Linked DNA regions of Elephas maximus indicus. The protein of the gene in region 3 purifies or fractionates together with the protein of the main gene of each other region. This does not show direct contact. Links are inferred from orthologs where the notes say so. Each region holds a gene or a part of one and is shown on either strand. Other genes may lie near its edges.

The links.
Region 1: the proteins of TNS2 (region 3) and DTNB purify together in Homo sapiens (affinity purification with mass spectrometry; 3 studies listed by BioGRID and IntAct, with this or other methods). This does not show direct contact. The link is inferred for Elephas maximus indicus from reciprocal best matches to the Homo sapiens genes TNS2 and DTNB.
Region 2: the proteins of TNS2 (region 3) and UTRN purify together in Homo sapiens (affinity purification with mass spectrometry; 4 studies listed by BioGRID and IntAct, with this or other methods). This does not show direct contact. The link is inferred for Elephas maximus indicus from reciprocal best matches to the Homo sapiens genes TNS2 and UTRN.

The regions. Positions count from the first base shown.
Region 1 is NC_064830.1:43,591,032-43,598,730, reverse strand, and holds the start of DTNB (dystrobrevin beta), read left to right. Parts: upstream 1-4,633; 5' UTR 4,634-5,325; coding exon 5,326-5,471; intron 5,472-7,699.
Region 2 is NC_064819.1:214,931,362-214,938,686, forward strand, and holds the start of UTRN (utrophin), read left to right. Parts: upstream 1-4,322; 5' UTR 4,323-4,769; coding exon 4,770-4,863; intron 4,864-7,325.
Region 3 is NC_064822.1:108,563,630-108,571,300, forward strand, and holds the start of TNS2 (tensin-2), read left to right. Parts: upstream 1-4,615; 5' UTR 4,616-4,753; coding exon 4,754-4,828; intron 4,829-7,310; exon of another isoform or gene 7,311-7,409; coding exon of another isoform or gene 7,410-7,484; intron 7,485-7,671. Other genes in the region: EIF4B (eukaryotic translation initiation factor 4B), read left to right, coding at 106-178, 760-840. UniProt on the Homo sapiens protein: Tyrosine-protein phosphatase which regulates cell motility, proliferation and muscle-response to insulin. Phosphatase activity is mediated by binding to phosphatidylinositol-3,4,5-triphosphate (PtdIns(3,4,5)P3) via the SH2 domain.

The DNA.
Region 1 (7,699 bases), on a different chromosome or scaffold from region 3:
GGCGGCCGGAGCCTGCGGGCGAGGGAAGCGCCTGCTCGAGCCTCGCGCCCCGGGGGAGCGGGAAGAGAGCAGCGCGGCGCCTGGACCTCCGGAGCCTTGGGGGCGCAGCGCCGGGAGAGGCGGAGACGGCGCGCGGGAGCCGGGGCCGCTGCACCGCGCGCGGCTGGGAAGGGAGACGGCGCGTGGCGCTCGGCCCTGGAGGGCCAGGGGAGGGGATGGAGCGGAGCCAGCGCAGCCGGACCCTGAGCCCGGCAGGGGAGGGGTCTCCGGCGTCCCGAGCTCGCTGTGGCCACCCGGCGCGGAGCCGGGGCTGCGGCCGCCGGGCAGATGCTGCTTGAGCCCGGGCTCGCGAGGAAGAGGCTCTGCGTTAGGTGCCGAAGGGGGCGAAAGAGGCAGGTCCTGGCAGAGGGCAGGTAAGGCAGGCAGGCCCTGGCAGAGGGAAGGGAATTTATTTCAGATCACCCCAAAGCACTGTTTCCCGAGGCGCCTAATAGTAAACCTGTTCACCGAGGTCACCCTTAAAAGGAAAGTGTCCTGAGATAGAGCAGGATGCAGCTAGCGAATGCTTGCTGTTAAATTTCTGTGCCAGACGTTGGGATTAAGAAAGAAGACCTTGCACGCTTAGCAAACGTTTATTGATTAGCTACTGTGGATAGAGAGCCATTGTCAGCACTGGGGCTACAAAACAGTATTAAACACGACCAGGATTTGCTATTTAGGCGCTGACAATTTGATTGTGAGGGTATCCGTATAAAATACACAGCAGCATTGAAATTTATGTCTCATACCTTTTACTTTAGGTCTGTTTTATTTCATCCTACTATGGGGTCATTGGAGGCATGAGTTGCTTGGTTTTGGGGATAAAGCAGAAGGGTCAAAAAAGTTTATGGGAGAAATTTGAGTTTCGCAAGCTCTTTTGCTTAACATTTAAAGGGGCATAGGGGAAAAATAAATTTGACAGCAGAAAGGAAGCTGACCAGGACGGTGCCTGGTCCACAAGAGTTGTGCGGTGAATGAAGATACACATTTAGTCTGAGCAGTATTGATCACTCTCCAGTTAGGAAGACTGATGGTCCCTCAAGTTCCTTTTTTTTTTTTTTTTTTGCCATATGAGATCACCCAGGTTCTTAGATCAGGGCATGTTAAAGCAGTGGTGGAGTCGTGATTTCTTGTGGCCATTCTCCTGCTTTCACATGCTTATTGCATATTGGCTGTGAGCAGCTTGCTTCTTGGGCTTGAGATTTTTTTTATTGTGGCTCTTCTCTCCTTTTTCTATCACTTGAGGAAGAAGAAAAACATTTTTGTTTGGAAAACACTTTTTCATTTTTATCTTGGTTCTTGGGTCTTAGATCTGCAGTAAGATCTACAGATCTTAGATCTGCTATTCTTGAGGGTCAGTTCTACCTGTCTTCTGTCTTGGTTGGATTTTTGGACTCTTGAGCTCAGGGCTGCTGTTTCCGTTTCCTGGGTTGCAATGCCTGTTGGGTTACTTTGTCTGCCAAAATAAAACTTGACCTTTTATGAGCTCTGTTAGGATTTTGAGGAGCCCTGGTGGCACGGTGGTTAAAGCGTTCGGCTGCTAGCCAAAAGTTGGCGGTTTGAACTCACCAGCCTTTCCGAGGGAGAAAGATGTGGTAGTCTGCTTCCATAAAGACTACAGCCTTCAAAACCCTTTGGACCAGTTCTGCTCTGTCCTACAGGTTCACTATGAGTTGGAATTGACTCGATGGCAGTGGATTTTAGCTTGGGTGTGAATTTTTATCATACGTGAGTGGTACTGCCTTTGCAGGGGGTTGTGCAGTCAAGGTAGCGTTGACAAGGTCTTTGAGTGACCACTATGCCCGAGAGACGAAATTTCTACTCAGTCTAGAAAACTAGACTTAGAACCAGTAGAATTTCAACCTACTATTTGCTTATTTTCTATCTTTAATATATATCTCTCAATACCTTAGTTTCCTCATGTAATATTAATCCAAATTTGGCATTGAGGAGCCCTGGTGGTACAGTGGTTAAGTGCTTCGCTGCTAACCGAAAGGCAGGCTGTTCGAACCCACCAGCCCCACTGCGTCAGCCCTTCTGCGGGTGACGTATGTGGCAGTCTGCTTCACAGTTACATTTTTAAAGATTTATAACCTTGGAAACCCTATGGGGCAGCTCTCCTGTATCCTATAGGGTCACTAAGATTTGGAGTGGGTGAGAAAGTCATGAAGAGATACTTTCTCTTTAGTTCTAGGGCTGCACTTCAGGGTAACTACTAGTTCTTGTTTTCGGGTGCCTCGGTCCTGCAATTTTGGGTGTCTTGTTCCAGGCTTCCCTAATGGTATGATATTTATTTATGTTATTTACATTTATTTTTAAAGCGACTTTATTGATGTACGATTTGTATATGATAAAATGCACAGATTTCCTATGGACAGTTGGATGAGTTTTAACAAATGTTTATACTTTGTAACTACTAGCTCAGTCAATATGTAGAACACTGCCATCATCCGAGAAAGTCGACCTAGCCCCACGTTTCATGTATTTGTAACTACACGAGTATCAGGACTGTGGCATCTAGTTGTGCAGGTTGTATACAGCCCAGCTTTAGCGAGTGCCTGGCAGTTCAGATCCACCAGCTGCTCCTTGGAAATCCTATGGGGCAGTTCTACTCTGTCCTGTAGGGTCGCTATGAGTTGGAATTAACTCGATGGCAATGAATTTTTTTTCATTTTCATCAGAGTCGCTCCTGGAGTTGTGTAGTACACAATATGTGTGGCTCTGTGCTGCAACACTTCTAAGGGCTCATGAATACACACTTGCTTGTGAAACACTCAAATTGTACAAACAAAACCCTCCTTGAGCCACGCCCTTCTCCACAGAAAGTACAGTTATCAGTTTGTTGTGCTCCCTCCAGACCTTTTTTTGCCTTTTCATGTGCCCATAGGTAATACAGGAGCCCTCCTGTGTACAGTGGTTAAGTGCTCAGCTGCTAACTGAAAGGTTGGCAGTTTGAACCCACCCACTGCCCCATGGGAGAAAGATGTGGCAGTCTGCTTCCATAAAGGTTACAGCCTTGGAAACCTTATGGGGCAGTTCTCCTCTGTCCTATAGGGTTGCTATGAGTCAGATCAACTCAGCAGCAGTGGTTTGGTTTTTTTGGTTTATAGGTAATACAGAAAAGACCAGGGATCCCCACCTACGTTAATGACATCATACCATACCAATCGTTCTGCAACTTTTTTTAAACTAATAGACTGTCTTTGAGGTCTTTCCATGTTGGAGCAGAGGGATCTACCTAATTCTTCTTAACTATTAATCTCTCAAGTAGCATGTATGCACTCTAACTCAAAACCGAACTCACTGTCATCTAGTCAGTTACCGACTCACAGTGACCCTATAGGACAGAGTAGAACTGCCCCATAGAGTTTCCATGGAGCGCCTGGTGGATTCAAACTGCCGACCTTTTGGTTACCAGCTGTAGCTCTTAACCACTATGCCACCAGGGTTTCTGTATCACTGTAGATTATTTAATCCTCTTTTCACTAGTGGGCATTTAAGCTGTTTATAGTCTTTTGTTTTTTCACGCATTGCTGCAGTGAATAAGAAGTAGAATTACTGGGTCAAAGGGGTGGCGCAGATTTTAAATTTTAATTGGTGGAGATTTAACCATGTTGCTACTTTTGGATCTGGTTCGCTTATTTTTGACTGCAGAGAGTATTCACCTGTAGACTTCATCACAGTTTATGTTCCCTTTTACTCGGTGAGGGTCAATTAGGCTACTTTGGATACTAACTCTTTGATGGATATGGGTTTTGGAAATGCATCCTGCCAGTCTGAGTCTTGTCCTTCCCCTTGTTAAAGATGCCCTTTGTTGTGTACAAGTTTTCAATTTTCATGTCTGGTTTAGGAAAGTTTTCTCTATCACAGAGTAGGAATTATATAGTCCTGTATTTTCTTCTGGAAACCCTGGCGGTGTAGTCGTTAAGTCCTACGGCTGCTAACCAAAGGGTCAGCAGTTCAAATCCGCTGGGCGCTCCTTGGAAACTCTATGGGGCAGTTCTGCTCTGTCCTATAGGGTCGCTATGAGTTGGAATTGACTGGACCGTACAGGGTTTGGTTTGGTTTTGGTATTTTCTTCTAAAAATTTTGCTTTTCACGTGGAATTTGTTTCTGTGTGTGCTGTAACAAAGAGAGAGAATTTTTTTCAATTTCGTAACTAGTTTTTCAGCACTCTTTAATTGAGGATATCCCTTCCCCTGCTGATTTGACAGCCACCTCTATCATAAGTCAAACTCTCTGAGCCTGTTATCTTTTTGGTAGTTGGGACATCTTGGCTACAGATTTCGTTTTTTTGATGCTTATTGGTTTACTTATATTTTTTTCTTTAGTCAATTTTGGTCATCCTTTTCTAAAACAATTATCTGCTTTAAATTCTGAAATATATTGACATATTTATGTTATTTAATTATATATGTAACATACTTTTATGATTTAAAAAAATCTTTGCCATATCTGTAATTCTTTTATTCCCCCCGTGTTGATTAGCTCTTTTTCTTTATGCTTGATCCATTTGACTTGAATTTTATTTGTAATTAGTTTTTTCCTTCAAAGAACAGATTTAGTCTATTTCTTAATTTTCTATTTAATTGATTTCTTCTTTTATCTTTCTTATATTCTTCCCTTCTTTCAACTTAGAGGTAGGCTTTAGATTTTTAAAATTTTCTTATGGTAAAATGTAAGAGATAGGTTGTATCTGTTTGTGCCCTCCTTTCCTGTAAGACAGACAAACACCCCTGCCCTTGCCATGAGATTGCCAGTATCTTCTGGGGAAGGAAGATACCTCTATTGTGTCGATATCATAGTTAGCCATTTGAGTTGCTTTGGCTAATGAAAAATGAATGGAGGTGATATTGCATGTAGCCACCAGTTTTCTTTCTGTTTTCCCTCTGCCTTGAGAATGGTACGTCCCAAATAGTGTATGTTCCTTCAGTCTGAAATTTAAATGAAGATGTTACATGGAAGACAGCCACAGCTGACCTGTAGCCGACATGTATCACAAATGAGAAATAATAAGTCTTTGTTTAAGCCACTAAGATTTTTGGCTGTTACTAGTTTTAACCTAAAGAAAGTTGATTGATATAAAAATAGGTTCCAAGGATACTATGGTAAATTATATTACTGCTGCCGGTTACTTGCTCACGTGAAGAGCTTACCTGTGGGAGGCATGTATTTCCTGGCCTCATTGTTAGGTTTGGCCACGTGACTTGCTTTGGCCAATGAAATTTGAATGGAAGTGGAAGATGCTAATTCTGGTTCTGAGAGGGGAGCTTTGAGAGCCATTGCATGCTTCTGCCAGCTCTCTTGTACTTTTCCCTCTGGCAGGAGAATGTCGTGTTCCAAACAGGGGCTGCTCCTTCAGCCTTACCCTGGCACGAAGGCGTGTGGAGCAGAGCCAGAGAGACCTGTAGCTGCTTCAGCCTGCATGTATCGTAAGAAGAAATAACCTTTTGTTACTGTAAACTGCTGAGATTTTGGGATTGTTTTTCCCTTAACATAATCTAGTGAAAACAGATTATGTTTGCTGTTCTTTTTCTAATTTTATAAGTTGAATCAATGCATTAATTAAAAAAATGTTCTTATATTTTAATAAGTGCACTTAAGGATACAAAGTTTCTGCTGAGTACTACTTTTCTCCTGTATCAAGTTTTGATTGTATACTCTCTTTGCATTGTTTGATTCTAAATATGTGATGATTTCCTTTATGATTTCCACTTTAACCCTGAGTCATTTAGGAAAATATCTTCTAATTTCCAAACATTTTTTTTAAACTAATTTTTTTTTTAATTGTTGGGTTTTATTTTAATTGCACTGTGGTAGAGAAAGTGGCCTTATGGAAATGATTATTTGTAATCTAGTGTGATTTCCTTTGTGACTTACTCGATTTTTATAAATGTTTTGACATGTATTTAGAAATAATGAATATTGTCTATTTGTTGGGTGCAGGGTTCCATATTACTGTTCGATAAGCATATTAGTTTTTTGTGATTTTTCTATATCCCACCTAATTTTTTGCCTTTTTAATTTATCCATTTTGTATATAACTATATTAAAACCACTTACTGTGGTTGTAGAATTATCAGTTTCTCCTTGTAATTCTCTTAGTTTGTCTTTATATATTTCTAGTTATGTTGCTAGGCTCATGTAAGTTTATGATTGTTGTACCTTCTTGGTGGATTGCTTTATAATTTTGTAGTGTCTTTCCTTGTCCTCATAATGCCTTTTCCCTTAAGATTTATGTTGTTTGATGTCAATGTTGATATTTATAAAATTCTAGTTTGAAATTATTTTCCTTCAGCACTATTTTATGATCTTCTGGCTTTTTTGTTGCTGTTGTTATTGAGAAAAGTCTGCTATTGGTCTACTTGTTATTTATTTGTAGATAGCCAGTCTTTTGTCTCTGGTAGTTTCTAAATTTTATTAGTGATGTTTTATAGTTTTACTGTGATATGTTTAGGTATGGATTTATTTATTTTGCTTGAACTGTGGAATAGACCATCAGTTGCTCATATGCAAGTTCAGGTGAAGCTGAAGAAAATTAAAACAAAAACCAAAATATGACCTTGAGTATATCTCACCTGAATTTAGAGACTATCTCAAGAATAGATGTGACACATTGAACACTAATTACTGAAGACCAGATGCGTCGTGGGATGACATCAAAGACATCATACATGAAAAAAGCAGAAGTTCATTCGAAAGACAGGAAGAAAAGAAAAGACCAAAATGGGTGTCAGAAGAGCCTCTGAAACTTGCTCTTGAACATAGAGTAGCTAAAGTGAGCAGAAGAAGTGACCATGTAGAAGAGCTGAGTAGATTTCAAAGGGTACCACAAGAAGATAAAGTATGATAATGAGACATTTAGAGACCTGGAGTTGGAAAACCAAAAGGAAAGAACATGCCCGGCATTTCTCAAGCTGAAAGAACTGTGGAAGAAATTCAGGCCTCAAGTTGCAATACTGAAGGATTCTATGGACAAAATATGGAACAATGCAGGAAACAGCAAACGAAGATGGAAGGAATACACAGAGTCACTGTACCAGAAAGGATTGATCTACATTCAGCCATTTCAGGAGGTAGCATATGATCAAGAACTGATGGTACTGAAAGAAGAAGCCCAAGCTGCACTGACGGCATTAGCAAAACACAAGGCTCCAGGAACTGACAGAATACTAATTGAGGTGTTTCAACAAGTGGATGCAATGCTGGAGGCACTCATTCGTCTATGCCAAGAAATTTGGAAGACAGCTACCTGGCCAACTGACTGGAAGAGGTCCAGATTTGTGCCCTTCCAAAGAAAGGTGATCCAACAGAATACAGAAATCATCTAACAATATCATTAATATCATATACAAGTAAAATTTTGCTGAAGATCATTCAAAAGCGGCTGAAGCAGTACATCACCAGGGAACTGCCAGAAATTCAAGCTGGATTCAGAAAAGGATGTGGAATGAGGGATATCATTGCTGATGTCAGATGGATCTTGGCTGAAAGCAGAGAATATCAGAAAGATATTTACCTATGTTTTATTGACTATGCAAAGGCGTTCAACTGTGTGGATCATAAAAAATTATGAGTTGTCTCATTTTGAAATTTTATTGTTAATTATTAGATTTCTGTTTGCTGTCTCTCTATAGATTCTTGCAGCTTGTTAAATTTA
Region 2 (7,325 bases), on a different chromosome or scaffold from region 3:
CATATCACCAGGGCTTTCCTCTGAGGTGCCTCTGGGTGGACTTGAACCTCTGGCCTTTCAGTTTGCAGCCGAGTACGTTGACTGCACCACCCAGGGACTCCCATCTATTAGCAGGAGTGTGGTTTTCTTGGAGAATTCAGTCTAGAAATGAAAGTCAAATAAAATTTCAAAGTCAGATCTTCACCTTCTCCCCATTTTTTTTTTAGCTAACCTTGTTTCTATCAAAAGATTTTAATATTTTCTGATCTGAAAAAACTGCTTGACCCTAGCTTAAGTGCATACAGGATAACTACACGCTGAGCCAGTGTCTTGAGACATCACAGCCAGTGCTGTGAGTCCTGAGTTCCATTTCCTGTGGAATCCCTGGTCCGGGAGGGGGTGCTTTGACTCTTACTTTTGTCTGCTGCTCTCAAGGGTCAGGTGAGGTTCATTAGTTAGGACTGACAGTTATAATAAGATGTTCAAAGCCAAGAGGGTTTGTAGATAACAGAAGGAATGAAGAAAATGTGTGCCTTTAATGGTCAAGGCCCCTTGTCTGGGTTTGGCGGCGCTGCCGCTGCTGGGCGCGTGTATCCTGGGTGGAGAGAGGATTAGTCCCTGAATGCCTTTGCTTTACTCTCTCCCTTCTTTACTACCTCCCGTGGTTTCAGCTGAGTTGTTCTGTAATTCTCTTGCCACTGCAATCCTTTCTTTCCTTTTTGATGAGAGTAGACCTAGGCTGGCGGCCAGTTGCCGTTGAGCTATAATAGAGCTAGTGGTATGTACAAAATTTGATTACTGCTGTCAACACCACATTGAATAAGAGAGTGCATACCCTAGACAGATACTTGCAACATAAATGGTCTATTGATTTCATAAAAACTAGAAATGAGGGCATCGTGTAATCTAGCAGAAGGGGTCTGACACTATGCAACAGTTTTAACAAGTGTCCTCCTATTAAACCAAAAAAGAACAAAAACACCCTTTGCCGTTGAGTTGATTCCAACTCATAGAGACCCTATGGGACAGAGTAGAGCTGCCCCACAGAGTTTCCAAGGAGCGCCTGGTAGATTTGAACTGCCCACCTTTTGGTTAGCAGCTGTAGCACTTAACCACTACGCCACCAGAAAACCCTCAGGTAACTCTTACAACTTACCCAGTGGTTCCATGGGAAAAACACCTGACAATCTGCTTCCTTAAAGATCACATCCAAGAATACCCCAGGGGGCAGTTCTGCTTTGTCACGTGGGGCCGCTACGAGTTGGAATTGACTCAGCAGCACCCAACAACAACTCTAATAAACTGATCTTTGTTCCTAAACGTCTTCACAATCAAGTTTTTTTTTAATAGTGTTAAAAATATACATAACAAAACATTTGCCAGTTCAAAATTTTTACGTACATAATTCAGTGACACTGATTGTATTCTTCATGCCATGCTACTGTTCTCACTATCTTTTTCCAAATTATGTTAGCACCATTACCATAAACTCCATTTCCCCTAAGCAGCAACTTCCCCTTTCCCCCTTCCTCGAACCCCTGGTAGCCACTAATAAGCTTTGGTTTCCCTATATTTGCATATTTCATATAAGCAAGTGAGATCATACAGTGTTTGTCCTTTTCACAACCAACTTTTTATAGAAACTCCAGTGAGGCATCCGCACTTGCGCTTGTTCGGTGGCTTGCCTTTGCCGCCTCCGTAGAAGTTGGATTCGTTGATACAGACCATTTTTGCTCTTGAGCTGTGATGACATTTCCACTTAGCTTAATATGAATGTTTTAGAAATTTCCCACAATGGAAAGTTCTGTTTGACAAGGAAGTTCAGCGGTCAGTTGCACAGTCAGCTGTATGCCAAGAAATAACTGAAACAATGAATTACATAGTGCAGCCTTGGGGCATGGAAAATTTCTTAGAAAATGGATGAATCATGTTATGAATCCATGTTTCAGGCCTGACGCCTTACATTAGAAAATAGAAAACTTTCCTTTCTTTGTTTTTTAAGCTTATAACCTTCTCATGTTTTCCTGGTTATGCTTTACAGAGATTTTATTCTGCTTTGATTTTTTAAAAGAAATTAAAAAAAAAATTTTAAATCCTAGAAGTAGGATGTTTCAGGAAGGAGGTAATTCACATCTTTGTGCATGAATTTGTTCAAACGTGGTAAGATCTGAAAAAATTCATAATCCTTGTGAGTTAGATTTCCTTGAATAGTAGTAATTCTTCTCTCCATATCACAGTTTTTGAGAGGGGAGAGGAAACTCTTGCTAGTGTCTAGATTCTTGTTCCCCTTGCCTACCTTCAAAATTTGGGAGATTCTCAATGTTTAACTTAAATCACAGTCTCGTCTAAAATTTCTTCCTATCGGTAATTATGGCTATTTACTTACAGAAGAATGGTTTAAGTGATCCTATTTCTATTTAAGAAGAAGAGATACACAGAAAGGCAGGTGGAGAGAACCGATATGTGAATGATTGAAATGTGGTATTTACATTTAGAATTTCTTCTCTCCAATTTTCTTATGTAACCTTTTTGTAGAGAAGATGCAACTGCTTTAGCAAGCCCTTCCTGAGATTTAAATCTGAAGGCTAGCGATGTTTAGCTGGGATGCACCAATACCGCTAGACTGTTGTTAAAATGTTGAAGGTCTTTCATATCTGTTGGAAAATAACTGCTGTTAAAGCTAGGGACCTTCAGGACCTGCTCCAGCACGGTAGTTGGTATGCATTCTGATTTATGCAGTGCTTGTACCTGGCTGGTTGCTCTGTTTCGAGTATTTAGTTGGATAGGAATGGAAGGGAACCCCGGTGGTACAGTGGTTAAAAGCTGTGCTGCTAACCGAAAAGTCAGCTGTTCGAACCCACAAGCCGTTCCACAGGAGAAAGATGTAGCAGTCTGCTGCCCTGAAGATTATAGCCTTGTAAATCCTGTAGGGCAGTTCTGCTCTGCCCTGTAGGGTTGCTATGAGTCGGAATGGACTCCATGGCAGTGGGTTTTGGATTTATAGGAATGGAGACATTTTTGGCCTGCTGATAGGAATTTGGCTTTGTCAGCTGTAAGGAAAATGCAACTTAAACCACAATGAGATGTCGCTTCACAACTGATGAGTAAATAAATAACATGTGACGTGTCCGTACAATGGAATATTTCATGTTGAGCAGCCGTCGAGTCGACTCCCGACTCCTGGCGACCCAGGTGTGGCAGAGGACAACTGTGTTTCACAGAGTTTTCAGCGACTGGTTTTTCTGAAGGCGATCACCAGGCCTTTCTTCCCAGGCACTTCTGAGTAGACTCCGACCTCTAACTTTTTAGTTAGCAGCCAAGCGCATTAAGTGGACCTTCCAGGAACACTAGTTTTATTTTGCCATTAAAAAAAAAAAAAAGATGAGGTACTGATACATGCCGCATCATGCGTGAACCCTGAAAACATGTTAAGTGAAAGAAGTCAGTCACATTAGACCAGGTATTGCATCATCTCATTTATATGAAATGTTCGAATAGGTAAATCTATACAGACAGAAGTTTTATTTTAGTGGTTGCCTGGGGTTGTTGGGGTGGGTAGGTGGGGTAGAAATGGAGAGTGATGGCTTTTTGGGGTGATGAAAATGTTCTCAAATTAGGTAGTGATAGTTGCTTAACTCTGTGAATATACTAAAAGCCATTGAATTGTGCATTTTAAACGGGTGAATTGGATAGTGTGTGAATTATATCTCAACAAAGCTGTTGACCCCCCTCCCAAGAGAAAAAGAGAATTAAGCTTTAATTACGTGACATAATTGTTTTTCACCCTGCTTTTCACTGTCTCCTCACAACCGTCCTAGGAGACAGGTGAGGTCACTACTCCCGTTTTACAGATGTGGAAAGTGAGGCTTATAGTGTTTTACCAGAATCACACAGCTTCTAGCCCAGGAAAAATACTTAAGTTAGAGAGGGTGGGGCAAGTACTGACGAGTTCTCTCTTCTGTACCTCAGCTAGTGGCAGGAATAGGAACAGAAATGGCTTTAAATTTAAACCTGTGGGTATTCCATCAAGGTTACATAGTCTGTGAAAATCTTTGTGCATAGAAGGTTTGTATTTCAAAACAGAATAGAGAAAGAGGCAAGGAATAAGAAAGCAGGCGAGATAATATGGGTAATGGTTTTCCTATGGAGAACATGTCCAACAAGAGACAGGAAGAGAGCAGGCAGACACAGAATTGAATGGGCTGGAAAGTGTGAGTCAAGATGGTTCTCTCTAATAGTGTTGTATGGTTAAGCTTATTATTTTTTCATAACAATAATTTCTAAGGGATAAACAAGAAAGCCTTTTGAGTTCTATTCCTCCAAGATATAGATACATATTAAAGTGAAAAATAAGTATAATTTATTCTTTGAAGTATAGTTAATATGTAACCGAACTCTTCAGCCCTGTTGTAGACTCAGGACAGAAGCCTCTATTTATAGACATGGTGAGTAGGGAGGTAGGTGGAGGGTACCCCCTTACCAGCTAACACTTCAAAACAGGAAACAATGTTTTAATCTCTCAGTGGTAGACCAGGAGGAGCATTCAAAGGCCCCTAGTTATGACTATTAAAAAAAAAACAAAACAACTACCTAAAGAGTTTTCACTAACTGCTAAGTGTAACTTCCTGTCTGGTATTTAGAGGAGGCTGGCTTAGGTTTAGTCAGATCCTCTCATGGGAAAAATAAAAGACACCAAAAGAAACAGGACATCCCAGTGTGCAGTTCGCATGCTGCTTTTGTGGTCTGCTTCCTCTGGATCTTTGTCCTCTTCGTTTAAGCCTGTGTAGGTGATGAGCCGTCCAGCCACCACCACATTTCGTTGGAAAAAGTGCAGATTTGATTTGCCCGGGCAAATAGCTCTGCAGACTTGCAAACGATTACCAGGTAAGCTTGTCAACGTGCCTCAGGACCAGCCAGGGAGGTTTTGAAAAGAGGATGTCCGTGGGAGACAGGCTTCTCTCTCTTTCACTTGCTGAGCCTAGTTTGTTAAGTAAGAGAGCTCTGAAGGCAGAGCCTGGCTGGTGACGGAATAGACCTGGCCTTTTCTTCCTGATGCCGCTGCTGTTGTGGCCTCTGAATAGTGGAGGCCATAACTGCCTGTTTCATCATTCTCTGCACAGTGGGACAGTTTGCTGAAGTTATTGGCTCCTTTGGAAAAGGCGCTCAAGGAACCATACGTTTGTTGTGAAAAATGTTTCACTCTCTCTCTCTGTATTTTCAAAGTTACTTACTATCTGTTGACTGTTTACTATGGTTTAGAGGCAAAAAGTTCCCTCTGTGACCGTGGAATAGTGGTAGATCTCATCCATATGGCATTTGCTTTGCTCAATTGACTAAAAAGAGACTATTTATTTTTAAATTTATTTATTTATTGTGCTTTAAATGAAAGTTTACAAATCAAGTCACTCTCTCATACAAAAAGTTATATACACCTCGCTGTGTACTACTAGCTGTTCTCCCCCTAATGAGATAGCACACTCCTCCTCTCCTCCCTGTATTCCCTGTGTCCATTCACCTAGCTCCTGTTTCCCTCTTCCTTCTCATCTTGCCTCCAGACAGGAGTTGCCCACATAGTCAGAAGAGACTTTATTTAAAAAAAAAAAAAAAAAGTAGTTTTTTGTCCTCCCCTTTTGGGGGAGATATCAGGGAAGGGGTTTTTGTTTTAATGCAGTCTCGTCCTGGAGAACCGCGGATGCATAATTACTTGGGGGTGCACTTTTCTTTCAAGAGTTTGCTTCCGCGGTGACTTAGTATTTCCGATGGGTTCAGACGTACATACATGTTTATGTAACAGTTGTATCAGCTGTCTGAGGAAAAAACAAAAACAGAAAAAAAACCAACTCAAGAGATATATCTTGTTTCACCCTACAGATCATGTGTGAATATTGTCACCATGGAACGACTCCCTTTTAGTGTCTTTTAACTCCATACAAATGAGGTAATAAGTGCTTTTGAGCATTGTTTCTTTGGAACAAATTTAAGTCCAAACTGAAATGACTGGAACAGCCCATATTTTCTTAGTAAATTAGATTTCTTGGCCAAGTGTAGTAGATTAGTGTGCTATAGTTCTCTTCATTTCTTGGCTGTTACTTTTCTCTTTTTTCAAAAGAATCATGTGGTCTTAATAGAAAATTAAAATAACCTTTCAGGGACCTGATTTAAAAAGCTATGCACAGGACTTGTAATTGCAGTATTATGGCTTTTTAAAGTTTTTTTTTTTTTTTTTGACACTAATCTTGTTTCGTTTGCTGGTGTTAATATTAATAGTCTCACTTCTCTGCGTATGTCTTGCGCCATAGGGTCTGAGTTACTTATAGCCCTTGAAATCAGAAGACAATTAGAATAAACGTGCAAACCTTTACTGAGTAGACTACTGTTTTACATATGCTTAAATCCTGTGCTGATTGAGTCTTGATTCTTTTTTGATGGCATTCTTTTCTGCCCTCTGAGCAGTCCAAAGGCTTTAGGAAGACAGAAGGCATTCTTTTTTAAATAAATATTTTACGGTGTGTTATTTTAATAAAAATAGAAAACTCATGTGTACATGACTTCAAATTCCACAAGGGCCTAAGCTTTCTCTTGTTACTGAACTGAATGTTTTCATGTATCTGAGGGGTAGATCTTGGTGATCTTGATAGAAATAAAGCTATAAAAAAGTATATTTTTATGGATGGCATATTCTGGTGGAACACATGGCCATTTTTGGTATTCAGAGCAGTCTCTATGATAGATTAAGCCTTGAGATGTCTATTATTTACTGACCTCAAAGTATAAGGGGTGAAACCATTAAATGTTTCGCTTTAAACTTTTGACAGTTAAGAGGTTGATGTTTCAAATGACTGTTGCAGAACCTAAAGGGAATAATAGAACATAATAAAATGAAGTAAACTGAAAATATATATTTGCTCAAAATTAGCCTTGAGTGTTATTTTTAAAATTACCAGTCCTTGGCTGGTATGTTCTCATCTAGATTGTTGTGATCTAATTTAGATTATTTGCCTCTTGGGTACCCATTGAGCTATAATGGGGGAGAATTGAATATGTTGAAATCTATGGATTATGCATGTATAGTTGTTACAGGTTCTTTTTATATTAAAATATTTACCCTAAACTTTTGTTAAGTATTTCATTTTCTTTCCATAATCTTAGTGTCTACGAACAAATTACCAAATGTTAAAAATAATCTAATTAAAGGAGACCAAAGTAAAAAAAGGAAATGTCTTGAACATGTGAAATAAAAAATTATTCCATGGCATTATAGGATTTCCAGACATTTTTTTTTTAGTAATGTACACACAATTGTCCCTGCCCAGGTAGCCACTTCTGGGAGGCCCTGCTTTCCCTTG
Region 3 (7,671 bases):
CAGATAGCAAGGACTGGTGATTGGAGGTATCTGTTCAGTGCCTCAGAGTTGCGGGGTCAGGGGGGTCCTCTCCTAAAGATGGGGTTTTGTGCTTAATCTCTGCAGGAAAGATGGCAAAAAGGATCAAGACTCTAGATCTGCACCTGAGCCAAAGAAACCTGAAGAAAATCCAGCCTCTGTACGTGTTAAAGGCTTCAATTTCTCTCAGGTCACACTTATTCTGAAATGCCACTTTTAAAGGATCTTGATATTTTCACTTTTGCCATTGGACTCCTTAACATTTGGGACTACAAGTAGAGTGGTTGGAAATGAGACTTTGGTGTTTGTTTGAAATAGTACATGAAGCCACATACCTGATTTTAGGCATTTCGTATCTCGGCCACTGGGAGCTGTCAAATGAGGAATTGCTGTTCTTCTAGAGCAGATGGGCTCCTTGATGTCTTTACTCTGACTCCTTCCAAACAGCCATGCCTGTTGCTGTTTCTTTGACCCCTTTTATAGGTCAGAAAACTCTAGAATGAATGGTCTTGGGTGGCGACTGATGGTAGATAAATTGGTTTTCCCCTTTTGTACCTTTGACTGCACTCGCTCCTTCACGGAATGAAGGTAAAAGATGCTGTGTGACTACAGTTATGCCAATGAGCAAGTGGCTGTAATCTGGGCATTCATTCTCCTTTTGCCAAAGTATCTGTGTTCTTTTTCTTGAGTTTTGATGTGGGAGTTCAAGGCCTTTGTTATTTTCACTCTAATCTGTTACAGAAATTCAGTTCTGCAAGCAAGTATGCTGCTCTCTCAGTTGATGGTGAAGATGAAAACGAGGGAGAAGATTACGCCGAATAGACCTCTATGTCCTGTGCTTTCTCCTAGTCTCTCTCCACCCTGGAACATTCAAGAGCAAATCAAACCTCTGTCCAGACACGACAAAATAAAACTCACCATCTCCTGGAGACCTTTCTTAACTTTTTTTTTTTTTTTTAATGAAATTCTTTTGCATGCTGCTGCAGCCTTTAAAGTATTGAACTAACTGGAGAATCACCAATGTCGCCAGAGAGAAAAAGACGCAGCTTCCAGAGGAAAAGCTGTGCATTTTATGACACCATGCAGTTGTCTGTGTGATTAGTGTCTAGAGGCCTCCATTTAGCAGAAGTGGTAATGACAGTGATTCAGTGTCTGGAAGCTGGCTGGGCAGTACCCAAACCCAGTGCCGTGGTAGGGCAGGTATAAGGGAGAGCGCGAGAGTTCTACCTTTTAATTCTTATTATTCTATTGTGGCATATATGAATTCTGAAACATTATCTCAATAAATTGTCCATCCTTGGAAGGTAGGTTAAATAGTCTCTGAGGTTGTTTTAGTCTCTGGGAGGCTGCTAGTCCCTGGGGCCAGCCTAGGGGGAATTCTTCCATTTTTACCCCCCAGGGGGGTAGTAGGGAGTGAGTCTACAGGCCTTTGTGAAAGAATAGGACTGCTTGGTGACCAAAAATATGGGAAAATCAAGAAGCTTTGGCAAGTATTTCTTTTGCACCAGGTAATAGGGAAATGGTATGACCTCCGATAAATACATGAATGGTTTTTTTTCCTGGAGTAGGAAGCACTTAGGTGTTGTGGGAATTCCTGGGTCATATGTGTCCTGGTTTTGCCCTTTCTAAACACTCTTTTCTGAAACTTCAAGTATATCCACGTTCTGTCAGCCTTGAAGCTTATAAAGGTCTAGACTTGTCATTATCTTAGTGTTCCTTACACTGTTCTTTATTGTTACATCCCAGAAAATCAGCTTCTATGTAAGTCACATACCTGATTTTAGGCATTTTGTATCTCAGCCTCTGGAAGCTGTCAGGTGAGGAATCACTGTTTTTCTCAAGCGAATGGGCTCCTTGATGTCTTTATTCTCTCACTCCTTCTCATCAGCCGGGCCTGCTCCTGTTACTTTGACCCCTTTTACAGATCAGAAAACTCAGAATTAATGGTCTTTGGTGGTGAATGAGAGTAGATAAATAGGGACAGTTAAATTGAGAGCCTTAACAACCTTGATTTTTTTTTTTTTTAACACATTTCCTTCTCTCCACTGATAATCCCACACGAGTGTTTTATAATGTGGCCTAGACGTGTGTGTGTGTGTGCGTGTGCATGTATGCCTGCGTGTTTAGCTTCACTTGAGAGAATAAATGACAGAACTGTAACAAGGTCCTGGTTTCTCTTACAACACAGTAGCTTAACTTGCCTGCTTTTATATGCGCCTTTGTACGGGTCACCTTGGTAGATGGTGTCCTTCCAGTGGTACCTGCAGAGAAATGACACCTTGGTCTCTTGTTTGCAAGCCCTTCTGCCATCGGGCCCTAGGTTGGCCACGCAGGGGTGTTGGTTGGTTCGCCGTGGCACTAAGCATAATGAATCATCTACCCAGTGGGCAGGAAAGCTCTACCAAGTAAATTAACTTTAAGTAATGAGCATGGATTGGTCAGAAACTAGGAAATGGGCTTTTAGAGAGAGAGACACAAGGTTGAAATTTTTTATTTTTAAAACCATTTGCTGTAGATAATGAGAAGTAGGGTTTACCCTCTTCATGCCTACTCTCCTTCCAAATAGTTGTGTCCAAAAGAGCTGTTCTTTCCCGTTCCCTTGCTCTGCCCTCCTGTTAAAGCAGAAACTGATTGATTTATGTCCAGCTCCTGAATACATGTAAAATTTGTACAAAAATATCTTCTATGAAAATGATTTGTAATCTGTAGACTTAATACCTGGGAGATGTAAAATCCCCATCCTTTGGGTTGTGGGTTTTTTTGTTTTCTCCAAATAAATCTGATCTTTAAAGTTCATTTTAATGCAGAAATTCTTTGACATATGCTCCCCACTCCCACTGCTTTTTACTGAACTCACATTGACACCCCAGCCTGCTCCATCCCCACCATCTCTAAAGTTCTCCTTCAGCACTAGATCTGTTTTGTGCAAAACCAGAGGGTAGATTTACAAGAGAAATCTATTTTGATGCTTACTGAAGCCCTAAGACAACTCTCACACCAGCTCCCCTCCAGGTTAACCTTTACTGTATCAGCTGAGCTTGCCTGTAGTATACCTTTCAGGCATGAGATGTCCCGAGGGTAAATCTTCACATGCATGGGTCAGTTCCTCTGCAAACGCTTGCCCTTACTTCAGTCCAGAGGTGTTACTTTGCTGGGTTACCCCGCTCTGGTGGGATGAAGTTCTGGGTGACAGGCTGGCCTGGGCTACCACAACTGAGGCCGCTTGAGATCATCCCTCAGACCTAGCAGGAATTTTCCAAACAGAAGAACAGACTGGTCATTGTTGCAAAGTAGAAAAGGAGTTAGGACAGTGGCAGAGAGTCCTTAAGGTCACGAGGGGTGGAGCATAGAAGACCCAGGAAGCTTCAGTCAATTTGGGGGACTTGGAGCCAAGGGATGTGAAGAAGGGGCACACAGTTAAACTGCCTCACAGGGCCAGCTGGAGCAGCTGCTCTTCATGCGCTGATCTTGGTTCTCCAAAGTCAGCAAGTTGAGGGATAAGGCTCAGTGTGCTGTGATGATACAGAAGCCATTCAGTGTGGGTGTAGGTAGGGAGGAAAAGGTGCCCCTGCTCAGGCTGCCTGTGGTGCCTATAAAACAGTGCTTGTTTGCCCAGCTGCGGCACAGGAAGTGGCCTTGGTCACCTTCATTCTCCAAGCCTCCAGTTTAAGTCCCTCCCCTCCTGTGAAATAGTGAGGTCTGGGTAAATAATGATGAAAAGGCAGACAAAAGCAGAAAGGCTGACTTAAAGAGGCTTATGTGGGTTGTGCACAGAAAAGGTACGGAACGAGGCACTCCAGAACTAGGACCACCAGTTGCCGTTGAGTCAATTCATGGCAGCCCGTATGGTTCAGGGTAGAGCTTTGCTCCATGGTTTTGATGGCTGTGATCCTTCTGAAGCAGACCATCAGGCCTTCCGAGGTGCCTCTGGGTGGGTGTAAACCACAAGCCTTTCAGGTAACCATTTGTGCTACCCAGGGACTCCTAAGTTCCAGGAAAAGCTATAGGCTTTGCTGTGCCCCACATCCTCAGTTATATCAGGGTGTGTGGGTCCTCTTAGAAGCCCAGCAGCAGAAATGGATCCCAGGACTGGCCAGCTTGCACTCTCAGTTTACTGTAAATCATGAGCAAACAGGAAGGTGGGTGAAGGGTATATGGGTGCAGCATCTCAGCTGTAGGCTGGGCGAGTTCCCTGTGTATTCCAGTCCCCTAAACAATCCAACGCTAACAACTGTGTTCTGCGTTACAAGGCAATGAGGGTCTGGGTGAGTGCTGAGGGCGTCGCCTCAAGTGCTACTCAGGCTCACAGCATCTGGTTTCTCAGGAAATGGAAGAGCTGCACTGCTGCTCCTGGGAAGCTGTATTTGTCACATATCCTTGTTTCTCAGCAACCACTGTAGCCCCTAGGGCCACAAGTGAAGAAGGGGGAACTTGCCTTTCATCACCCACCCCACTCCTCAAAAAGGAGTTTGGAAGGGTCGGGCTGTGCTGCTCCCCGCCCAGCTGCAGCAACCTCCCGGTTGGACAATACACCCTCTGTCCTCAGGGCCAGGAGATCCGCCTCTGGAGTCAGTTCATCCCCTTCCCCCGCTCTTCCTGGTTTCCAGCGCCTAAATCCTCCACCGAAGTTCCCCTGACCCAGTGCTTTTCCAGCCAGGACACCCCCACACCCTCAATGTCCCTCTTCTGTAGCACCCCTACCACTGCAAGGATCTGAGCACACGCAGTCACAGGCATGGGATCACCCCAGACTATGGAAGAAGGGGTTCAGCCTTTGGTGCCAAGATGGGCTGCCTTCTGCATAGTCAAGGTAAGAAAACCTACATGGAGGGAGGGTCAGAGGGTATCCCTAAAATTGTTTCACCCTCATTAACATTCTCCTGGCTTTCCCTTTCCTCTCCCCCTCCCTTCTGAAGTTCCCACTGTTCTGAGCTGCTAATCAGAGTGCCTGGCTGGGCTTCATTTACCACCCATTTTTATTTCACTCCCACCAAGCCACCTTCTATAAGATTTTTCACTCCCAACCTTCTCATCAGCTTCTTTCCTGCAGCCTCCTTCCCCCAACCCTTAGTCTCCATGTTGAGAGTAGGATTCAAGTTTGAGTTGGGAGTTCAGCTACCTGTCTTGTGGCCCTCCCCCAACTTCTCAGGACCTCAGAAGTTCCTCTTGTGGGCCCATCAGTCAAGGCAGCAATACCGGCATGTGTGAGGTCCTAGCTCTACCCACCTCTCTGGGATCCAATCCTCTTCTCCGAGTCCCAATCTCTCCCTCAATACCCACATGAAATGCATCCTAGTCTCCAGCCAAAGACCCTAATGAACATTGGGAAGGGCAAGATGTTAAGAGCCAGCTGTAGGCTCCAAAGACATAAGGAAATCATATCATCTGTATCTTGCTTATGTAATCAAATCTTGGCAAAATACACAGCATGACCTTCAGTCCTGCCCTTTCCCCAGTAGCCTCCAATCTCTGCCACTCTTCTCTGTCTTAACTCTGCCTCTCGCCTCCTCCCTGTGTCTCTACCCCTTCCCTCCAAGACCCCACCACATCACCACCCCTAGCCCCCAGCCCTTCCTCCAGACCCTGGTGACTCTCACTGATCTAACCTCTGAAACTGCTTACTGGACACCAACTCAGCCAAGAGTGGTAAAATAAAAGCTTCCCAGTCCCAGCCATACCAACCCCACCCCACCCAAAAAAAAACACTGCTGTCAAGTCGATTCTGACTCATAGCGACCCTACAGGACAAAGTAGAACTGTCCCGTAGGGTTTCCAAGGAGTGGCTGGTGGATTCACACTGCTGACTTTTTGGTTAACAGCTGAGCCACTCCACCACCAGGGCTCCATCCCAGCCACACCAGCCCCCGCCAAAGGCTGGTTTCAGAGGGACCCACATTGTCACCATGCTCTGCTTCAGTCTCCTCCCTGCCGCCAACTTGGACTCAGGTGCTCCACCCCCTTCTAATAGGAACCATATTTCCCAGCCTCTGCCAGAGGCAAGATGAGGACAGAAAGAGACCCAGCTGAAAGATGGGACAGGGAGGGAAAGAGGGTCTTAGCGCTGGGGGCACTGGCTGCTTTGAGCAGGCACTGGGCATTGAGCCCTGGGCACTGAATTCTCAGAATCCAGAATCCACCTTCCCCCCTCCCTGAGCCCCCCCTTACCAGTTTTCATCATGGAAATTCTAGTGGGGAGGGTGAGGGAGAGAGGAAGTTTCAGGAAGTGCTCACTGTTAAAGAACGTTAGGGAATCTGGGCATGGCAGTAGGCTCAGAGCTTTTAGGAAGACATCCCCTCTTTCATCCCTCCCCTCCCACTTCCCCTCCAGGGTGGCACAATTCAAACCACCCTCAGCACCCATTTAGCTCCATTTCAGGAAGCTCCTATTCAATACTAGATCCAGAAACTGCAAAAGAAGGGAATGAGGTTAGATTATAGAAGGAACTTTAATCATCATTGGGGAAGCCTGGGACTTGAGTTAAATATAAGCAAGACTTTCTTGAACAGATGTCTCCTAAGGAGTGGGAATGACCATCCAGCTCCGAAGTAGGGCAATGGTTGGGATGACTGGAGCTGCATGTGGGGAGGCACTGGTTGAGCACAATATGGGGTCCTCTGGTGTGAGTCCTTTTGCAGGCATAGGTGACATCAAAGTCTCCCGTGAGGCAGAGGACCAGGAAAGGGTGTCAGGCAACTTGGCACACAAGTAACACCAGGTGTCTTCACCTGATTCTGGCGCCCCGTGGGCAGATGGGCCTGGCCTCACCAGGCCAGGCCGCGGGTGGGTCCCGGCTGGGGCTTTGGGGTCAAGCCCAGTGCCAAACAAGCTCCTGTGAAGGGGGCAGGCTGCGAGAGACCGGGCAGTTCTCGGCACTTTTGATTCTACTCCCTACGGGGCCAATGTCCACCTTTCCTTCGGCGTCTGTCTGGCTCGGGTGTTTCTTTTTGCCTGTGTCCCTCCAGGTCAGCCTCTCCTCGACTGTCTGTTGCCATCTCTGGGTTTCTCCCTGTCTCTGAAATTTTCCTGTCCCTGTGTTCTCCATGCCTTTCTCAAAATCTTTTTCCCGATCTCTTAGTCTCTTCCTGTCAGAGTCTCTCCCTGACTCTTCCTCTGACCGTCTCTGCGTTCCTCTTGCTTCTTGTCTCTTTGTGAGTCTGCGTTCGCGGGAGAAGGTGGAGAGAAGACGGAGAAAGGAGAGAGGCCGAGGGGGCGGGGAGCGGGCGGAACGTGGGGATTGGAGCCGGGGCGAAGGAGGGAGGGAGGAAAGGGGCGAGGGAGAGGGCGGCCGTGGCCGCGGGGAGCGGCGGGGTGGGAGGGAGCCCGGCCGGCCGAGCGCGGCGCGCCCGCTCCCCTCCTCCTGCTGGTCCCGCTCGGCAAGGGCCCCGGCGGGATGGGCTGGCCCGGGGGCAACCCCTGCTGCTGCCCCGCCCCGGTGCGCCCCCGCCCCGCCGGGCGCCCCCCGCAGGTGAGTGGCCGAGCCGCGCTAGGCCGGAGGGCGGTGGCCTCTGCGTCACGGCTGAGCGGGCAGTGCCGGGGGCGGGCGCCAGGGGGCGCGCGGAGTGGGGTGGGCTCCCCATGTTTGGGGGTCCGGGCGGGCCTTGGTGACCCGGGGGTAGTTAGAGGCCAGGAAGGTGACCAGGGTGCAGGACACG